3 linked regions of the Drosophila melanogaster genome follow. The protein of the gene in region 1 interacts with the protein of each later gene in a pairwise test. Each region holds a gene or a part of one and is shown on either strand. Other genes may lie near its edges.

Region 1 (4,908 bases):
TGAAGGAAGTGTAAGTGTCTTGGCCAGTTTCTTGGCGATTTGTTGTTTGTGGTTCGTTGTTTGTTGTTTGTGCTGGCCTCCTGCCAAAAAGTTTTCAAAAAAAAAAAAAAAAACGGCTCCGCGAAGAGCCGGTTTCGAGCCACAGGGCTCGATTGTGTGATTCATGGCTCCGAAAACTTGACCGTTGACTCAGCATCCCCGAATATCAAAGACAGATTTAAGCAATTAAACCGCATTGGTATAAAAAGCAAAAGTGTTAACCGCAAGTTATTGTGTAACTAACCGTTGTCACCGTTGTCATTAAAACATAAAAACGAAAGATCGCCGAGATGCGGTCTTTAAACTTAATTACGCCCGTATCTCGGTATTTCGTATCTTAATCGCCTGACCGAAATGCGTAATAAAAAACCGCAAGAACAGTGTTTTTTGTTAGTGATTTTGATTGAATTGCGCTAGATTCTTTATTATCATTTTTGCCACTCAACATGATTTAATTAAAAAGCCGAAATGTTTTTTGTCGGCATAGTTAGGTGGCGGGTTGGTTTATTATTATTTGTTTACTTGTTTGCTGTTCTTGTTTAACCCGCCTGAGCTTTTTATGCCACCCGCTATGTGATGTGATGTAGACACAAATACGCGCGGCATAAAACATCCAAATATTATATTATATTATACATATTTATCTACATAGTCGTCCATGTTTTCCTGTCCATTTTTTTTTTGTTTTTTGGTGGATTGGTGGATTGTTTGCCTCGATTCGATTCAATTCGTTTCGTTTCATTTCGCTGCTTGATTGAGCACATCAGCGCTGGCAAAAACATATTTGCGTTTATTTTTGTAAGCTTTGCGCTATGGCTACATTTTAACATATTAATGCTTTATGGCTCACTTTTCATGCACTGGAAATTCAATTTAGGGAAATTTCATTTTAGCGAGAGTATGTTTTTGGACCTGCGATCTTTAAAAGAAGCATGCATTGGGTATGAGGGATGTGTGACCCCGACGGAATGATTAATTGTTTATTGAGAAATGGATAATGGATCGGATGGATCATAGCTCGGATGGAGTCACCACCGCTGATTCACGCACTTAGGATCTTTTGTGACCCAAATTCCCCAGATTATTCGGGGTTGTTGTTCCCATTTAGCTGCACACTTTGTTGTGGTTTTGAGGAAAACAGATCACGGGAAATAGTTCAGCACCTGCACTTGCTTTCAACTTCAAAGAGATGTGCCAAATGTGCGTTTCATACGCATAGTACATTCATGACAAGAAACAATAATATGAGATCATTGAAACTTTATGTATATCTAAAGTATAGATAATGAAATTATCCTACTTAAGGATTTATTTTTTGGGCAATTGTACTTGAGCCCTTCAGCAAATTGTTTATCCCATTTAACTAGATGTAATTATAGGATTACTATAAGTTACAGCCCCGAAACGGACTGATTGCACATGGGCATTTGGCTGGCTGCGCCGTTAAAAGCTTGGCTATGAAAACAAAATACAAACAATTAGCCAAATAACAAAAAGAATAGCCCGCACCAGGAACAACAACAAAACAGTGGGCCACAAAAGCCAGACAGACATTGGCAGCCGTTGCCGTCGCCGTCGTCTGGCGTTTTGTAGCTTTGCGGCTCTGCCGTCGTATCGGTTGGGAATTGAGAACCGACAATGTCTATATAGATGCTATATAGCCAGACTGTGCCACTGCCACTGCCTCTCGCACGGCCCAAAAGCAGCGACGCCGGCAGCGACGACGACTGCGACGGCAGCGATGTGGTTGAAAAGATTTTTGTATTCGAAAACGGCACAAAATGCACATAAAAATTTTCGGTTTCGGTTTTTGCTTTAGTTGAGAGAAAATCGTCGCTTAGTTAACGTCGCCCAAGAACTGAACTGGCAGTGCACCACAAACGTCACGAATATACGAAACCGAGATCCAAGTCCAAATCAGTAAAAATCAAATCAAATCGAAACCGTATCGAATCGAATCTAATCGAATCCCAGCAGAAAGCCACCCGATCGGAATAAATCGGTCAGTACCAGGTCGCATGTGAAATCAGACATTCGGTTAAGTAGAAATCAGCTGGTTATACAATAGCCTGCCGCAATCGATTCGCCAGGATCGCTGATGAATCAGAATCAATATCAGAGACAGTCACCGCCCCTCTCCCTCACCATTCGTCCACTAAATAGTGACTTGTGTGCATTTTGTGAAGGTTAACAACAAGTAAAGTCCCTTACGAAACCGAAGACTCAGCGCGAATAATATAGGCGATTGGTAAATAATTTTCTTGGCACGCCGATCCAGGGAATTTCTTTTGACGCATATATCACATTTGTTGGCCAGAGCACAGATACAGAGATACAGATACGTTGTAGATCTTCGGCTCGTTGAAATTGAATAAAATTATATAGTCAAAAAGCGAGAAAATTTTTAGAAACTTTTCAAGGTGAGTTTATTTATAGCTCCTCGAAATGGCTGCGCGGATTGGATTTGTTTCCGAATACTCTCGCTCAGTCAGTCAGTCAGCGCCGTTCGCCAGCAGCCATCCGCCAGATACAATATCTGCCAGATACAGATACACAAATTGCGAAAGTGCTGCGAATGTGGCGGCCACCACCTCCTGCGCCTCCTTTCTATGCTCGAATTGCTGCGGTTTGGCGCCACAAATTCTGAGACATTTTCAAAACGTTTTGAGCGCTATATAGACTATATATCGGCGACAGCATAAAGCATCGCATATTAATGAAGCCAGACCAGCTCTCTAGGTCGCCTCCTCGAAAAGTGTCTTTCGTTATCTTGGCAATTTTCGTTTGCGATTTTCGTGGCTGCTCTTCGGATTTCCTCTTCGCCTGATCTATTTTCAGCGATTTTCAGCAATCGCTCTCTCCTTTTCTCTCTGCCTACCTCGCCAGCTCTCGCTCACTCTCACTGCCGCTGACATCACGTATACGCAGTGGTTGCTCTCCATTTCCATTTGCCATTTCCAATTCCTGCCAGGCCACCAGCAGTCTGCCTGTGATGTAATTTAGCCATGACCAAAACTTGTTGATACTCGCCCTGTTCTTGTGTCCGTTTATCTTCTGGCTTTCTTTTAGCCTGGGTTCAGTGAACCCCAACAAAACGACGAAATCGATTAATCACCCACCTTGTTATCTAGCGATTAAACTAATGTTTGGTCACCTCACCAATAATAGCTGTAAAGCAATCGCCACTTCGACCGAATCAATCTTACAACGCCTCACAACATCCGTGAATCAATGCCCGATAAGATAGTGGTTCTATAAACTTGAATGAGCTAATAGCCATTGCCACTGACCACTTTTTCGATGAATGAAATGTCTTTGTTTACACTGGGGTTTATCAGTCCAGGGCGGAATTAATTACGCAGAGGATGATGGGTGCACTAGAAAATACACCGAAAACAAAGAGCTGACTGTTCGTTTAATTATTTAAGTCGAGTTCTTTTAGTAAACAGAATTGTATCTAAATTTTTTCTCACTGCTGAAAAATACTAGCAAATTCCTTCTCGGCCGGGAATCGTAAATTAAGGCCGTCGTGGAAATGTAGCTGAGCTCATTAGAATGGCACTTCTCGTGCACATCCTATTCCTATCCTATCCCATTCCGTTCCTGGGTGCGTGACAATATTTCATGGCTTGGCTTCACTTGACTCGGATTCGTGCACATATTGCAACCATCGCGGGGGACTGAGCGATGGGGCAAAAAAGGGGAGACATGCTCTACAAATTTCAAACAGCTTTGCGTATATTTTAATTAGTTCGCTCTCTCATTGGCCGCTTTTGCTTTTTGCAAATTCTCTGCGGTCTCTACGATTGCCACCAAATCATTTCTCAAGAATTTAACCTTCGTGAACTGTCATGGTAGATTGCATTCTCTTTCCTTTTGCTGAGACAAGCACTTCTCTCGTATCTTTGTATCTTTGTTTATTCTTCAGGGTTCGTATGTCACTCAGAGCAAAAGAACAAAAAAAAAAAAAAAAAAAAAGGTGGCGAAACAACGCAAAACCCGACCGATGATAATGATTCAAGAATATTTAAACATACGTTAATGGAAGGTTCTTGCCTGGGAATGGTTGTAGGAGTAGATTGAGATATGACCCCTTTCGACCTTCTGATCTTGAATCTCATATGCTATATGCTATATGGCTTTTAAAAGAACTTCTATAATGAATTTTTAAATGCAGTGCTTGGCTATAGGAAAGAAGGTGTGCTATTTCAGCCAATGATATCATCTCAGCAAAGAAACAATTTCTTCAAATGTTTACTTCCCAATATATAGCATAAATAAATACATTTATTGCTATACAGACTGATACTATTAGCTCTCCTTATCGATTTACTAAGTTATAGTGCTCTGTTATTGCTCCCACTTAAAAAGCACTTGTGAGGTGTGCAACCCTGACCTTAACTTCTGCCAACAAGTTAATCACTTTCGCCTGGCCAACAACTGCGATGGCACACTTTCGCACAGATATGAAATCGCAAGTGGAGGAGGCGAGCGGAGTCGAGCGGAATTACACAATATTCGAGCGGCAATTTGACTAAAAGTAATCACGTATCCGACGCCTCGCAATTACATAACCGCAGTGCGTTGAAAATAAACGCCCACAGACGCGAAATCTTCGACGAAGAAGTGCAGACTCAACGCAACTCGAATTGTCTGAACCCTCCCCCCCATACCCCTTTTTTTTACTTTTTGCTAAATGGGTAATGGGTACCACTGCTGCCACTGCTCTTTCTGCACCACAAACGTGACTGGCAAACAATTTTTGGTTTCATCGCCGCGGCAAAAGCCACAGAAACCCATCGAGAGATTGCGATTGAGTCGGCACTTTGGGATAGGGTTTTAGTGGGGAAACCCGCATGGCATCTCATA
Region 2 (4,890 bases), on another chromosome or scaffold:
GTGCTAAGCTTGGGAGAGGTAATGAAAATAATGACAACTTCTCTTTTGGTTTGCCTTTCGTTTAAAACTTAATCAGGTTATCAAGTAAGCGTAACTACAACCTACAATTGGAAATTTTATATGTTTTTGCAATAATAAACATCAGATTGTTGGTTATACTTTAAGGTTTCCATCAGCTTAATAATCAATTTAATTTAAGCAGCTCGAGCAATGACATAGATTTTAAAATTGGTTAATTTGAGAGAGTATTAGATGATAGGCTTCTACTTTTATTTGAGGTGTTTAACGCGTTCTGTCATAGCAACGCTTCGAAAGCTAATATAAAGGCAATTAAGAGTGTCTGGAGAAACTTCACGTAATCTGCGGGATCTCAAGTTATTAAAAATATGTTGTAATGAAGGGAATGTAGTTTTTAAGAGACCACAGAAGTCGTTTTTTTTTTTTATTTCGCACACATTTCGTACAATGTATGCAAACGAATCGCAAAGGAAATATCAAATCGCTTGAGGCTTTAAGAAAACCACATTCACAACAGTTTCCACAGTCTGTGATCCAGGCATGTCATTTGACATTTCACCAAAAAAAAAAAAACGAAAAAAAAGAAGAGAATAACAACAAAAACACAAAGAAAGCAAAATATAACCAAAGCAAATAAAATAAAATATTTTGCGAAGAAGCCGAACAAAAAATGAAGACAGACTTTGTTGTCCTTGTCAGCGTGGCTACAACTTCCTTGGCCCAGGACGACGTCGGAAGTGCCAGCGGAAATGAGTAAAAAACCTACAACTCACTCAAAATTCCCGCTCACTCCCATCTCACTCGCACTCGAACAATGGGAAATTCCGTTTCGAGTGAAATTTTGTGCCACAAACGAACGCACTTCGGCTGCTTTCGGCCATCGCCTCGTATTCCCACTCACTCGACATTGAGCGTTTGTGGAGCATCCTCAGAGATGCCAAATATTTTGGGGGGGAAAAAAAGCTGAAAATAATTATTTTCCAATTTCTTAAGGTTCGCATGAAACCCGTATACTTGCATCATTGTTTAACGTTTTGGTGAAATGTTGTGATAAAATGAGTTTAAGTTTTAAAATAAATCGCACTATTTTTTGGCTCTTTACCATATCAAAATGTATATACTAAAATGAGCTTGAAAGTGGGCGGCGAAAATATGTTGATGTTAAGAAATGCATCTGGATATCGAGCAGACGTTTCCCATAATTTATTTTTATTAAGTTTTTATTTCTTAATCTCTATAGAAAAGCAAGATATTATAGATCACTGTCAGTTTTCATATTCACATCCGTAAATCTAATAGGAAACAATTTTTGTTTAAAAGAAATAATTAAAAGCTAAGATCCGTCATAAATAGTACTGTCAATTTGAGAGGCTAGAAAAATAAGATAATACATATCAGCTTATAATTTTTAAATTTCTTTTCGGGAAATTAATTTTTAAGCGTGGGAAATGGACAAAAATTGCTAGATTCTCGCAAGTATTTTATTTTATGGTGTGATATTCTTCTAAAATTAGATATTTTTATTAATACGTATTTTTTTTTTTAACAAGTGGAATCCAATTAGTTTGTTTTATTATGTTAATGATTGTTAGTATTAAAAAAAAAACTTCTATAGATATTGGGCAAACAACTCAATCAATTTTAGGTAGTAACATAATAAAGTAATAAATACGAATACAATTCTTTTTGGTTGATAGAAAAGAATAAGACAGTGAGCGGCTGGAAAAACTAGCCAGAGTTGTCGGGAAAGCCGGCTAAGTAAGCAGCACTGGCGGGTCGACAACAGCAGTGGCAGCATCCGCCGTGGCAGCGGCAACAGTCGAGCGGCAGACTCGATGCAGCAGAGCCACAAATTCCGGCATTACGTATACGCCCAGTCTACGTCGAGTTGGCCACGTGTACGGACACGCGGCGCGGTTCGCTTTCTCCGGTGACAGCACATTCGATATTAACGTTTCACTACCAAAAAAAAAAAAACATCGCGATTGGTTGCTAATAGACAAGCACCAGAGATACGATTTTAAAATCTTAAGGTTTTGCTTTTGTTCAAAAGAAATACAAATTTTTTTGTTTGGTTGTTTGTGTGACAGTGACAGTGCCAGTGTGAAAGTGTGTGTGTGTGAAAAGCTTGCCGGCTTGAAAAATGCGCGCCAAAAATTGAGATATTTTCGCGGAGCGCAGCGGCAACAAAAACAAATAAAAACAACATTTCGCAACGCAGCCAAAGGAGGCGACAACACGCAAATAGTAATATATACATATATATATAAATTAAACATATGCACATATACATATATATATTAGATGGCAGCTTTGCAATGTAAACAAATTATATTTCCGTGTTTTCTTAAAATAACAAATCTATTTGCCGATATTTACCAATTAATTAGTGGGCTAGTGACAATATTAAGTTGCAAAGGATAACAATTATAAAATAAATACGTATACTGCTGCATTCCGCATAATAGGCAATAAATATGTTTGCGAATATATTAATCAAATCAAGGCATTATGGCTGTGGTAGCTGAATGAAATTTGCATAAATCAAGCTTCAATGATCCAGAGGGCACATTAGTCTCTTTTAGCCTGTAGTTGTAAAAGTTGTTCGGTTTTAGCCAACAAAATGGAAATGAAAAGGCAAAAAGTGGATGTGTCATAAAAATTCCTTTTGCACAGAAGGCGTCCATTATGCGGATTCTAAAGCAATATTAAAATAATCTCTAGTAATTTCCTAGTAAGTGCCCACTTAAATGAGTTTTTCTTTTTTATTAGTGCGCTTTAAGTCTTTGATTTTATTTTAATGCGTCTTGGGATATATTTATACATATTATTAATTGTTAATTTGTTCAGCAGTTTTAGATCGAATATACTTGCGATTAAACATTTCTAAACATTTTGAAAAGTGTTCGATTTTTTGTTGTTTTTATTATTTATCTCATATAAGCTACAATATATGTTGAAAGATTTCGAATGAATGTTTAATTTAAACTATTTTGTCGCATTCGTTTGGAAACTTCGACCGTATTTTCTATGTATCCCGTATAGATAAGTTTGGGGCCACTTAGCGAATTGGCGGACATATTTTTAGACATAGCCCAAATAGTAAAAAAACAAGAGCAGAACGAGTAAGCGAAGAGGGGAAAATTGTATAAAAACCAAAGACACGAACGCAGAGGCTATAGAGAATTGGTGAAAAATGAGAGAAATTCATTAATAAAAGACAGCAACAAAAACAAGAGCAAAAATTAAACGGCTGCCATCAGGCTTTCCCACTTCTCTCACCAATTTTCCCTTTCGTTTTCCCGCTTTTCCTTGTCCACGGCACAGCTGTGATCACACGAAGAGAAAGAAAAAACAGAAGAAAATTCGGAAAAAAATGAAAATAAAAATTATTACATATGCGTAATGGGTATTTTGTGTTGTTGCTGCTGTTATTGAAGAAGATTTTCCAAGCTACAACTACAACAATTCCGTTAGCGCCAACTTTGACGAAGGTTTTCCATCGGCTTTTCTTTAAATACCCTCGCGAATACGCAGTGTATGGATTAGGGATTGATGAACTATGCTATTAGGTTAAATAAAAATATACTCCGCAAAACAATAATAATCATTTGGGCTTGCAAAACTGAATGCAATCTTTATTTATTGCATTAGTAGATTGAATAAATTAATTGTTTACGGGGTATTGTGTTGGTTGTTAATTGTCCATTAACTTAATTTCCCAGTGTTTTCTCTGTTTTGTTGCCGTCTCAATGAATTCACTAGACTTCCAATCGTCCCATCTCTTTCGCATGCTGTGCAGCCATCTCTCTCTATCGGTGGCTGACAAAGTTTTGCATTATGTTCATCTCGTCTGTCGCTCTTCTATATCCCATTCCCACATATGTGGCTCAAGGCTATCTTATACACGCACTTTCAGCGCCCTCGTCGATTTCTTAGTTTTTCTTCTCATTTTCCATTCATTTTTGCTGCTCCCATTTCGGTTTTCTTAAATTTTTTCAGCATGTTGCCCTCATAAATTTGGGCGAGGCAAACAAAATTTTTGTGGTAAACTTTTATTCACGAGGGTTTTTTTTATTTTTGAAGGGAAACTTCGATGGTAATTAATGGCATGTTGACCAGCTGGTCAAATAGGGAAAAGGATTATTCCTGCCTTTTAAGGACTAAAGTAAAGGATGAGTTCTTACTCCAAAAGAAAGCTTAAATCATATTATTTTCTTCTTCTGTGTATTCTTATTTTGTTCAAGAAGAATGTATCCAGCATTCAACAATTACAAATCAATGTTTAATAGCAATATTTATTTGTACTCCGTATTTTCTGAGTGTGATTATATTGTTGTTCAGATTTTCTCCATTGATTTTAATTCAACCATTTCGTTTTTGTGATCCTTTTAATTTTCTTAGCCATGTTGTAATTTCCCTTCTAGTTTTTCCACATTGGACTCCATTTAGTTTTATCTCTCTGCAGCTGTGCTGAGATTAAATTTTGTTCAATTTTTGTAACCATTTATTTCAATAAAATTAAGCCAAAAGTTTTTACAGTTAAGCCCAAACTTCCTTTGGCGATTTCGGTTAGCTTAACTGCTTTCCGCCTCCTTTGACCACCCATTTCCTTTGTGTCCCGAGCAACAGGTCCTCTCTCATTTGCTGGGATTTCTTCTTATTTATTATTTGTGTCTGTCCACAGTGTTTTCATTTCTTTCCCCGTATTATTTTTGGCCGCAAAAAAGTCTGATCTTAAAGCCTTTTTGCATTGTGCGGCGATTTTCGCAGCAATTTCCCGTGGAATGTGAAACTAATTGCAGCTGGACTTGGGTGGTTGGAAAACGCAATGGCATACAACTAATCAGAACGGAAAAAGAGCAGAAAAGC
Region 3 (3,574 bases), on another chromosome or scaffold:
CGGCGCCATTCTTTACAATAAAGGAAAGTTGATTTTCACAAATGGATCTGTTGGCTTATTTCCCTGAATGAAGTTTTAGATAAATGTGCCGGAAAACCGACGTAGCTGAGAAGTTTTGGAGTAGTTTAAAAAGAGACGCTCTGCTATTTGTTTTGCAAAGATTATTGATGTTTGATTACTGCCCGATTAGATTCTGTTTCAGATATAACTTATACTGCCATCTTCTCCATATTTTTGTTACTCTAAAAGTTAAAACCTTTAATTGACTTGCATTAGCTTGAAATAGAGTTTTCATTGAATTTGGACTTATAAAATGCTGTATTTGGCATCCATCCATTCAAATTAATAGTCAAATGATTGATTTAAGTTAAGCTTGTAACCAAAAATCCAAAAATAGCAGATTTAATACGTAATGGCTACTTACATGTATAATCGATCGTGTATTCCTACTATACAATCTTGATAAGCATCAACAGCAAACTTTCAAAGCTATTTAACTTTCCCAAAGAGTTTCATTTTGTAGGTAGAATAAACAGAACAGACCGATTTGAAAAACAGCCAATATTATTAGGATAACTAAAGAAACCAATATACGTCGGATTTCCCCTATTTATATACCCACTTTGGCAATAACGAATTAAAGGTATAAACGAATAAAGGTATTGTTGGGGATAAACTGATAGGTTAAGGAAGAGTAAGAAACGAGTATTTTTTTTGATAAGAAACAAAGTGAAATGCTTTATTTCACGATTATCTGTGTCGTTAATGGAAAAAGGCACATAGTTTACACATGTACATGAATTTGGGATATGTATGTTATTTTCATTATCTCAGAATAATATGAGATTGATTTTGTCATTTGCTCATCTGAACTGCGAGCAATACTTGTTTCACAGCACATGTTAATTTTAACAATTTGGCCGTGGAATTGTTTTTTTTGGTTATAATAACGAGTATAAGCCCCGATAAAATGTTTTGGTTTTTGTTCTTTGGCAGTGGGAGTAATTCTTGATGAACACGAACTACTGGCGCCTTGAGTATGGCCTCCTGTGCTCGTAGGGAGTGGGACGAAGATCCGCGCGAGCCTTGGCCTTCCGCGGCTTCTTCTCCTCCTCGTAATCCTCGCCAAAGTGACGACGTTTTTCCTGCTCGATGAAAGCCCTTCGCTGGGCGGGAAACAACCCATTGGGCTCTCTCACTATGTTGGCCCTGGAACAGTAGACCTGAGGATCGTAATCGGGCACACTCTCGTCGTCATCCCAGTTCTCCTCGGACTCGATCTTCGCGTGTCTGGTGTCTTCGCTGAGGACAGCAGGAGCGCTGGTCTGATAGTGTACTATAATGTTTCGATCCTCGCACGATTGGGTGTGTTGCTACGTATGCAGAAAGCTGGGCTTTAATAGGACATACAAGGTAACTACTACGTATATTCTGTACTCACAAAGAACTGGGGCTCTGGTATCAAATGGGAACTATTGAAGGGACAAACCATAAGTTCCACCGTGTCTTTGTAGATCACACGGCATTTTAAGATGTGCTGCTGGAGCTTCTTGCGCAGCATTTTGTGCTCCTTGTTGTACGGGCAATAAACCATATCGGATTCGTCGTAGTTATTCATCATGAAACAAAACCTAAGGTTTCGAGTTGCTTTTAAAATGTATTCGTAAAATACAAACAGTCCGGCAACGCTTTATCTACTTGTGTTACTATACCGATAATGAAATGCGATACTTTTCTTAGCCTATCGATAAGCGCAGTCAAAGTGCCCTGATATCGCAGCTGGAAAGTATTTATAAAAGTTGTATATTGGTTATTTGTTTGCAATTTGGTAGCGAAATTGCACAGCAGCAAGATGGGCAAGGGCTTCAACAACTACATGTGCAAGAAATTCTTCCACCCCGCCTCCAGGGACAACTTGAAAAGGGTAAGTGGCTCCGGGCTCCTGATGAAATATGTTCTTCCCCAGCAAAACGCCTAAAACTATAGGGATTACCTTCTGCAGGTCTGGATGGCGGAGCAGCAGGCGGAGGCGTACAAAAAGAAGCAGGAGGAGCTACGCAACCAGTATGAAAAGGAGCAGAATTTGCACGAGAACAAGGCAATGCTCAGCAAGGACAGCAAGGATAAGCTGAGCGTCAATTTCATGTACGAGCCACCGCCAGGAGTGCGAAAGGAGCGCGAAAAAGATGACAACGAGCCGGAGTACAAGTTCGAGTGGCAGCGAAAGTACAACGCTCCTAGAGAGTCGTACTGCAAGGGCGACACCGAGATCAGGGACCAGCCCTTCGGCATCCAGGTGAGAAATGTGCGTTGTCTCAAGTGCCACAAGTGGGGCCACATCAACACGGACAAGGAGTGCACCATGTACAGCATTTCCATGAGCGAGGCACGGAAACTGCACGCAGAAACAGAGGCCAGCGACATCATGGCCAAAAACGTGCTGGAGGAACAGATGAAGGAGGATGGCCTCATGATGAAGCGATCGGCACAGGAGCTGCAGAGCATAAGGGCCATTCAACAGCAACATCAACTGGTGCCCAGCGATGGCGAGAAGGACGCTCATGCCGATGACCAAAATCCCGAACTAGTTTTTCTCAAATCCCTGTCCAAGAAACAAAAGCTAAAGCTGTTGAAGAAACTGGAGAAGATTGAACGAATGAAGCGCAAAGGCGAGGGCATCAAGAAGCCCACAAAAAGGAAATCAAAAAAGGAAAGGCACGAAAAAGATAGCAAGAAAAAGAAATCCAAGAAGGACAAATCGAGCAGAAAAGACAAAAAGGGCTCAGTTAGCAATAGCTCAGACTCCTCTTCATCGTCGGACAGCAGCGACTCCGAGGACAATCACAAAAGCAATCACAGGGACGACAAAAGAAATGGACATCAAAGGACTAGGGACTCGGATCATAGCTACCAACGGCGGAGCAATGAAAATAGGCATCGGAGAGATCGATCCCGCTCCAGAGATCGCTCGCGATCGCTTAGCAGAGACCGAAGAAGGGAGAGGGAGCGCAGAGATCGGTCCAGGCGGTAGAATTAGTTTTGTAAAACCCACCAATAAATTTTTATCAATTTGTATCGTCATATTTAAAATTCTAATTTAATTTATATTTCATTTACACGATGAAGTATGGTGCTTTTTCGTTTTTGAGGAACCAACTAGTTTTTAAAATCATTCATTAGCTTTGCTATAATTATTTATTTTGCCAGCTTGTGATATACATATCTTAAAAAATTTATTGGGTATTAAGTGGTGCTTTTAAATTGCTCTAGATTCGGGCGAGTTGAGCAGTTGTCGAGGATCCGGCGGAGACGCAAAGTTCGGCGCCGTGGTTGCTTCCACCCTCCCGGGAAATGCTCTTCACGTGGATGTGGCTCTTGAGCATTGCAGCACGAAGAACAAGCATGCGGGTATGACGCTGGTACTGCTTGCCCATGATCAAAGCCCGCTCAAAGGTGCTGTTCCTTTGATCCGCCTCCTTGGCGAACAGGATCTTATTGTGGGAGTCAATACGCGCCTGGATCTGTCCGTCTAATATCAACTGCATCACCTCGTTCTCCAGATCGCCCACCGACG

The links. The genes of interacting proteins can lie anywhere in the genome.
Region 2: the proteins of Zasp52 (region 1) and Neto interact in a two-hybrid assay, tested with the Drosophila melanogaster proteins (one large-scale study listed by BioGRID).
Region 3: the proteins of Zasp52 (region 1) and CG6843 interact in a two-hybrid assay, tested with the Drosophila melanogaster proteins (one large-scale study listed by BioGRID).

The regions. Positions count from the first base shown.
Region 1 is NT_033778.4:15,811,862-15,816,769, reverse strand, and holds the start of Zasp52 (Z band alternatively spliced PDZ-motif protein 52), read left to right. Parts: upstream 1-1,852; 5' UTR 1,853-2,041; intron 2,042-4,908. UniProt on the Drosophila melanogaster protein: Regulator of cell matrix adhesion having two related functions, one upstream of Actn organizing the Z line and the other downstream of integrins regulating assembly of integrin adhesion sites.
Region 2 is NC_004354.4:13,444,013-13,448,902, forward strand, and holds the start of Neto (neuropilin and tolloid-like), read left to right. Parts: upstream 1-1,890; 5' UTR 1,891-2,265; intron 2,266-4,890.
Region 3 is NT_037436.4:18,899,879-18,903,452, forward strand, and holds CG6843 (uncharacterized protein), read left to right. Parts: upstream 1-1,715; 5' UTR 1,716-1,852; coding exon 1,853-1,924; intron 1,925-2,002; coding exon 2,003-3,031; 3' UTR 3,032-3,074; downstream 3,075-3,574. Other genes in the region: arx (asterix), read right to left, coding at 1,023-1,373, 1,442-1,594; CSN1b (COP9 signalosome subunit 1b), read right to left, coding at 3,267-3,574.